Macaca mulatta: one gene and its partner. The protein of the gene in region 1 interacts with the protein of each later gene in a pairwise test. Links are inferred from orthologs where the notes say so. Each region holds a gene or a part of one and is shown on either strand. Other genes may lie near its edges.

Region 1 (3,500 bases):
TACTATAAAGGTAAAATTTGATTTGATTTGATTTGATGTGTAAAAACCCAGAAACACGTAGTGACGGTGCTCAGTGCTGGTGAAGCCACAGTTGAGGTAGACACATTCTCTTATCCTACTAAAAGAAAATAAATCAGTAAAAATTGGATAGAAATTGAGTAGTATTTATCAAGAACCTTAAGCAAAATCATATTTTAAAATATAATTTCTCTTATGGAATTATTATCTAATGAAATAATCATAATTACTGTAATACTTTGATTACAGGGATATTCATTATAGCATTTTCCAAATTAGGGAAAAATTGGAAACAACCCAAATGTATATCAGTAGGGGAATGATTACATAAACATGATACATGCCTATAAGGAAACATACAGTTGTTAAAAGTAATGTTTTTGAATTTTTGTATGGTGTGAGACATAATCAGTGTCAAGTACTAAGTGAGAAAGGATAGAAGAAAGAATGATCTCAATTATGTTCTTTTAAAAAATTAGAGTACTTTGACAATTAGGAAAAAATGCTGTCTACAGAAGAATTGAACTTTGACTCTTGAACTGCAGAGTTGATGATGATATTTTACATTTTCTAGATAAAATTATTCTGTTTGCATCCTACAAAACAAGTAATGATGGAAAATAAATTGGAGGTTCATAAGGATAAGACATTAAAGGAAGCAGTAGAAATGGCTTATAAGGTATGTTTAACTGCATCATTGGCATTTACTTACTAATACAACAGTATTAACATAATTTCCCAATTTTTTATTATGGATAGTAGTTATATAAACACTGGCAGTAACCTTGGTAACCAGTTAATTTATCTCTTACTGAGTATATTTATACCTCTCCTTTGGAGCATAGTCAGTTGATTTTGAAAATTTTCTCTCTCTGGAAGCCATTTAAACTTTCTAGATCCCAGAATTAAAATTAGAAACAGAATGTTTATTTGCTCTTTCTGTTCATTTAACATACATTTCTTGAGTGTTTACTGTATGAAACATTAGCGATATTAGAGTGAATAAGACAACATGAGGTGTTAGAGATACGAAAGTGAACAAGGCGTGGTCACTGCCTTCATGGAGTTTACAATCCATTGGAAAGAACAGACAAAACATATGTAAACATCACAATTTGCAATTATTTTATTATTTAGATGCTGTAAATACATTAGTATTAAATTGAGAAAATTTATTTTGAGACTTTAACCATGAGAAAGGGAAGCAGTGATGCAAAAAGTTGAGGAGGAATATACTGGTCCATAGTCAGATGCATTACCCACTCGGTCACTGGCCCGTGCTCAAGGAAGAATATTCTAAGTAGAGTGAACAGCATATGCAAAAGTGCTGAGGTGAGGAGATGCTTGGCACGTTTAAGAAACTGAAGAAAGGAGCCATACGTTTAGATTGTTTTAAGTGAGCACAGAGTACCATAAAATGAGATTAGAGGTTTTGTGAAATAGAAGTTTGCATTTTGTTCTCTAAGAGTAGTGGAAAGTTATTAATGAGGTTTGAAAGGCAAATGGGGTCACGCTGTTTCACCAGATCATTCTAAATGTCATTTATGATACTTAACAAATTAAAGTTTTCCCCTTTCCATATAAGCATTAACAGAATGACTGAAATTAAACCATCATTACCTAGAGAAAAAAATTGCATACTACATCATTTTGTGTGTAGTTATAATGGAACCAATAAAATAACTAAAAATAACACACAAGATAGCTGACATTGTTTCTCAAAGTGTGATCCAGCACAATCTGCACCAGAGTCACATTCTTATTAAAAATGCTAATTGCTGCAGATGAATCAGAATTTCTCTGTTGGAGCCCGGGAATAGGCATTTTAACACATATATCAGGTGATTCTTAGACATAGTCAAGTTTGAGAATCATTTATATTATACATCTGGTCCTGCATAGCACTTATCAGTATTGAAATTTTACATTTAATTGTTTGACTATTTTAATTAATATTACTGTCCCTCACTAGACTATAAGCACATACAAGTGCAAAAACCATTCTGGTTTTGCTCATAATTTTATTTTTAGTATTCTTCCCTGGTATATAGAAAAGTCAAAAATGGTTGGGTATGTTGAATGGATAAATGAATGAACAAACATTAAGATGTATGGATGGCTCTGGATTTGCCTCATTTTGGTAAAAATTCTTTAAATATAATGGTGGACTGCAAGCATTAGTCTTGAAAATAGGAAGTGTGAAAGTTTGCAAATAAAAAGAAACAAACAGAAGAGAGAAATAAGTCAATCTTATATGCCAAAACTAGAGCTTCATTGTTGGGGGTGGGAGTTGGGGAGGAGTAGAGATCAATGGGGATACACTGAGCCTTACAAGTCCTTCTTGAAAATCGTAATCACAACCTTAAATGAACATTGAATACTTCTAAGCAATCCTACTATGTTTCTCTAGGAGGCTTATTTCCTATCAAGAGAGTTGTTGCAACCAGGGTATGTCATCTATTAGTGACATAAGCTAGAAGGAAATTTTATGATAGAAATTCCTATACCATGAGCTGTAAGTATTCTGGAGGCTAATATTGAAAGGGGATATCTGGAGAGGAATGAGGTGGCACCTGAGAGACAGAAGCCATACCCTTTGTGATGGCTTTATGAGACATGCTGTCCTCCTGTACTTAGATTGTTACTAGATACATGAATTATCAATTCTACTCCAGATTGGATTAAGAAAACAAAAGATGCATATTCTAGTTGGCTGTTCGGTTGTTTTCTTCTGTGTTTCCAGCTTAGTTGATTACGAACAATTGTTATAATACATTGATTTTGTTTCTACATCTAAAGTTTATGAAGTTTACTTTTTAAAAACAAAAATGTATTTAGTACATGCTTTATATGATTTGAGGGATAATGAAACATAATTATTTAAAAATAACATTTAAGTTGTGCCTGTAACTTTGATGTCTTTGATGCAAATCATAAATGTGTGGATTTTGTTAGGGCCTATTGTGGTGTTATTACCCAACAGACTAGAACACTGTGTATTTATATATGTATATATATTTTTTCTTTCTGGGGGATTATTTTCTTTTAGATGATGGATTTAGAAGAGGTAATACCCCTGGATTGCTGTCGCCTTGTTAAATATGATGAGTTTCATGATTATCTAGAACGGTCATATGAAGGAGAAGAAGATACACCAATGGGGCTTCTACTAGGTGGCGTCAAGTCAACATATATGTTTGATTTGCTGCTGGAGACGAGAAAGCCTGATCAGGTTTTCCAGTCTTATAAACCTGGAGGTGAGCAGTTTTACACTATTTTTAGTTTTACTGTACTTAAAATGTTCATGAGAAAGTTTTTTTTTTTTTTATTGTAGAAATGAACATAATTTAAATTTTTCATATGGTCTTAAAATGTAGAATAATTTTGACAGGTTGAGAAGTACTCAGCAACAGCTTGAAATTAAGTTCTAGATTACTTGCAAAGAGTTGTATGCATAATTTTAAAAACAACAAAAAAATAGC
Region 2 (4,293 bases), on another chromosome or scaffold:
TAATAATATGAACATTTAAATAAACTACCGAATTCTCCCCAAAGTGGGCATAACTCTTTTGCACAGTCTGTTTTAACCAGCGAAGAATAAAGAGCCCGGGGCAGTGCACAGGGCGATCCAACATCTATTCCCCAGGGGAATTCCTGTCCCTACTTTAGTTTAAAATCCTAGCGCCGTTCCCCATTGGCCTCCCACACTCCGGCCTCAAGGTTCTCAGCTTTCTTTCCACCCCCATGATCCCCTGCCTTCTTTGGGTCCCCCGAGCCCCTTATCTCACCGAGACCTCCGCCACCAGGCAGGTCCCGCACCCCACCACCGCTCCCGCCAGCGCTTCCGCTCTTAGTAAACAAAGAAGCACATGGGCCCGGATTCCAGCCGCTTCACAGCCCGGGATTCCTCCGCCCGAGGCGGGAGCCAGTTCAGCCATTGGCCAGCACGCCCAGGGCCACTGCGATCCCAGCCCACTGCCGCCTTTCCCGGGCCCGAGCGAAGCTCCCGGATCCCAGGCACGCCCCCCCGGGTCGCAGCTCTCTCCGAGGCCGCCACGCGGAAGGACACTGTTTACACGACACTCCCTCCACCCGCGTCGCGCCACTTCCGCCCGGCTCCACTTCCGCTCGGAGGGCGGCCTCAAACGGCCAATCCCGGCACGCAGCGGCCCCGGCTTGCCCGCCCCCGGGGCCTCCGCGCGCCTCGGGGAGGCGGCGGGAACCTGGGAATATCCAAAAGCGCGGAGGGAAGCGGGTCCGGGGTCCAGAGCCCTTAAAGAGTCTCCTGAGGTCCTCGGCGCGACTCTTCCCTGTGCAGCCCCCAGCCGGGTAGCGCCCCCCAAGCCCCCCAACCCCACGACTCTATAACACCTTTCCCAAGTGGGATTACTACCTTTTCTTCAACGTCGATGCCCCTCGCGCGCCTTCCAGGTCCCGTGGGCCTTAGCCAGGCCGCAACCCGACCCTGCCTCTGGCGTCGCGCGCCCCAGAACCCGCTGACCCCGGTCCTCGAAAACCCCAGCTCACATCAACAGGTGTTCCCCGGGAGGCTCCCCGCGCAGGACGCCCTCCCAGGCTTGTAGACCCGTACCTTTCTCTAGCGCGTAGTCCTTCAGTGCCATCGCTGCCGAGGCCCGTGCGGCAGCTCTTGGCGGGCTCAGAGGTCTTGCTTCTGGGGAAGCTGAGAACGTCCGGGCGGTGGACTGTGGCCGGCCAACCGAAATTGGCGCGAAACGTCGCCCCCCACGTGACCAGCGCCACTGCGTGCGGGCCAATCGGAAAAGCCGGCCCTTTCTCCCTCCCGCTAGCCGCAAGCCAATCGCCGGGCGGGCCTCGAATGAGTGACGGGGAGGCGGTGCGGGAGTCGGAAGGGAATCTCCGGGCGGGGTGGGGCGGGCGCCGGGTTTCCCGCGGTCCAAGCTGGCGCGGGCGGAGGAGAATCGCTCTTAAAGGGCCAGCGCACGCGCGTTCTTTTGTTCCGGGGCCTCAGGGCGGGGCAGGCCCAACTTTCGCCGTCTTCTTGTCTGCTCTCCAGGACGGCCATGATTTCCCAGTTCTTCATTCTGTCCTCCAAGGGGGACCCGCTCATCTACAAAGACTGTATCCTAGACCCTCGGGGCTGGGAAGGGGCGGAGGGACCGGGCGGGAGGGGCGCCCAGGGCCAGCCCGTGTCGCAGGATCCTTCACTGAGTCCTTCCACCCGCCAGTCCGCGGGGACAGTGGCGGCCGGGATGTGGCCGAGCTCTTCTACCGGAAGCTGACGGGACTGCCAGGAGACGAGTCCCCGGTTGTCATGGTAACCACTGGCGGGAGGCGGGTGAGGAGCTGGGCCCGGGCGGGCCGGGTGGGCGCCGTCTCCCTCCCAGGACTGGTTCCATGGTAGCTTCCACTTGGGGGTTGTATTTCTCCAAGTAAAACTAACAAGAGGCCCGGCGCGGTGGCTCACGCCTGTAATCCCAGCACTTTGGGAGGCCGAGGAGGGCGGATCACCTGAGGTCAGGAGTTCGAAACCATTCTGACCAACATGCTGAAACTCCGCATCTACTAAAAATACGAAAAAAAAATTAGCTGGGCGTGGTGCGGGCGCCTGTAATCCCATCTACTCGGGAAGCTGAGGCAGGAGAATCGCTTGAACCGAGGAGGCAGAGGTTGCAGTGAGCCGAGATCCGGACACCGCACCCAGCCTGGGTGACAGAGCGAGACTCCGTCTCGGGGTAATGGGGGTGGGGGAAAAAAAAAAACGTCCATTGGGCGCCAGCAACACACCAGGCCCAGCTCCCTGCGTGACTCCATTATCAGCAACTTGGGGTAGTTACTATAATTAACCCCGTTTCCACATGGGAAGCTGGGCTCAGGGATCTGTCATGTATCTCCCAAACTAGTAAGAGGCATCGGGATCCCAGCTCAGGTCTCCTGGGTTCTGATTACTCCACCTCCCTTTTCCTAACCCCTCTTCTCCCTGCCTGTGTTTCAGCATCATGATGGCCGTCATTTCATTCACATCAGACACAGCAGCCTGTATTTGGTGGTCACAACTTCAGAAAACGTTTCTCCCTTCAGCCTCCTAGAACTGCTCTCCAGGTGAGGAGGGTTGGGCTGGGCACCTGCTAGCTGGCAGGGTTCTCAGAGGAGGAGGAAATACACGCTCCAAGTGTTTCCTCAGGTTGGCCACTCTTCTGGGCGATTACTGTGGCTCCCTGGGCGAGGGGACCATCTCCCGCAATGTGGCTCTGGTCTACGAACTCCTGGATGAAGTGCTGGTGAGAATCAATGATCCCCTTCTGTGGCCCCCACCTAATTCCCCTGGAGATACATCTGCTCTTCTACTGTGGGATGCTGTGGTTAGGCCAAGTCTATTTTTTTTTTCCTTTTAGAGACGGTCTTGCTCTGTTGCCCAGGCTGGAGTGCAGTGGTGCAATTATAGCTCACTGCAGCCTGGAACTCCTGGGCTCAAGCTATTCTCCTGCCTCAGCCTCCTCCCCTGTGTCCAGCTCATTGTTTATTTTTTGTAGAGACGGGAGTCTCGCTCTGTTGCCCAGGCTGGTCTTGAACTCGTGGTCTCAAACCATTCTCCTATGTCTCGGCCTTCCAAAGACCTGGGAGTACAAGAGTGTGCCACCATGCCTGGCCCCACTCCCCCTTTTTACCCCTTCCCTCCACTGACCACTCGGACTGTCCTTCCTTTACCACTAGGACTATGGCTATGTACAGACCACATCCACAGAGATGCTGAGGAATTTCATCCAGACGGAAGCTGTGGTCAGCAAGCCCTTCAGCCTCTTTGACCTCAGCAGCGTTGGCTTGGTCAGCAGAGGGAAAGAGGAGGGTGAGGAAGGAGAAGAGGGGTTGGCTGGGGTTGTCAGACCTGATGATTGATTGCTTTGGATGCTTTACAGTTTGGGGCTGAGACACAACAGAGCAAAGTGGCTCCCAGCAGTGCAGCCAGCCGCCCTGTCCTGTCCAGTCGCTCTGACCAGGTGAGGGAGGAATCCATGGGGTCAGACCCTCTGGTTTTGCTCTGGGACCCCAGAGTCCAAGATCTTACGTTGGGGCGCAGTGGTTCATGCCTGTAATCCCAGCACTTTAGGAGGCCGAGGTGGGCGGATCTCCTGATGCCAGGAGTTCGAGAGCAGCCTGGCCAACATGGTAAAATCCAAAAATGCAAAAAAAAAAGAAAAAGGAAAAGATCGGCCAGGCGCGGTGGCTCAAGCCTGTAATCTCAGCACTTTGGGAGGCCGAGACAGGCGGATCACAAGGTCAGGAGATCGAGACCATCCTGGCTAACACGGTGAAACCCCATCTCTACTAAAAAATACAAAAAGCTAGCCGGGCGAGGTGGCGGGCGCCTGTAGTCCTAGCTACTCAGGAGGCTGAGGCAGGAGAATGGCGTAAACCCGGGAGGCGGAACTTGCAGTGAGCTGAGATCGGGCCACTGCACTCCAGCCCGGGCGACAGAGCGAGACTCCATCTCAAAAAAAAAAAAGATCTTGACACCTCTCCCACCTCCCCTAGATGTGGGTATCCCTTCCATCACCCATGTCCCCACCCTAGAGCTGTAGCTTTGACTGTCCTGTCCTTTCTCCCTGTCTGTCCATTTCAGAACATAGGCTATTCTGCTTCCAACCATCCAAACCCTCTCTCTTTCTTAGAGCCAAAAGAATGAAGTTTTTTTGGATGTGGTCGAGAGATTGTCTGTACTGATAGCATCTAATGTAAGTCTGAGCTCCCAAACCTGGAGCTGAGGACAAATGGGACTTGAGAAACATGGTGGGGTGGTTAAGACTCCCAGCAATGGCCACACAGT

What was found. The genes of interacting proteins can lie anywhere in the genome.
Region 2: the proteins of USP47 (region 1) and AP4M1 interact in binary tests that used the Homo sapiens proteins (3 or more experiments, as listed by UniProt). The two-hybrid records come from large-scale screens. The link is inferred for Macaca mulatta from reciprocal best matches to the Homo sapiens genes USP47 and AP4M1.

What each region holds. Positions count from the first base shown.
Region 1 is NC_133419.1:53,524,450-53,527,949, reverse strand, and holds part of USP47 (ubiquitin carboxyl-terminal hydrolase 47), read left to right. Parts: intron 1-592; coding exon 593-697; intron 698-3,067; coding exon 3,068-3,275; intron 3,276-3,500. UniProt on the Homo sapiens protein: Ubiquitin-specific protease that specifically deubiquitinates monoubiquitinated DNA polymerase beta (POLB), stabilizing POLB thereby playing a role in base-excision repair (BER). Acts as a regulator of cell growth and genome integrity.
Region 2 is NC_133408.1:47,408,006-47,412,298, forward strand, and holds the start of AP4M1 (AP-4 complex subunit mu-1), read left to right. Parts: upstream 1-1,493; 5' UTR 1,494-1,531; coding exon 1,532-1,589; exon of another isoform or gene 1,590-1,696; coding exon 1,697-1,806; exon of another isoform or gene 1,807-2,203; intron 2,204-2,463; coding exon 2,464-2,570; intron 2,571-2,652; coding exon 2,653-2,749; intron 2,750-3,182; coding exon 3,183-3,293; intron 3,294-3,385; coding exon 3,386-3,466; intron 3,467-4,138; coding exon 4,139-4,201; intron 4,202-4,293. Other genes in the region: DNA replication licensing factor MCM7, read right to left, coding at 1,081-1,111. UniProt on the Homo sapiens protein: Component of the adaptor protein complex 4 (AP-4). Adaptor protein complexes are vesicle coat components involved both in vesicle formation and cargo selection. They control the vesicular transport of proteins in different trafficking pathways.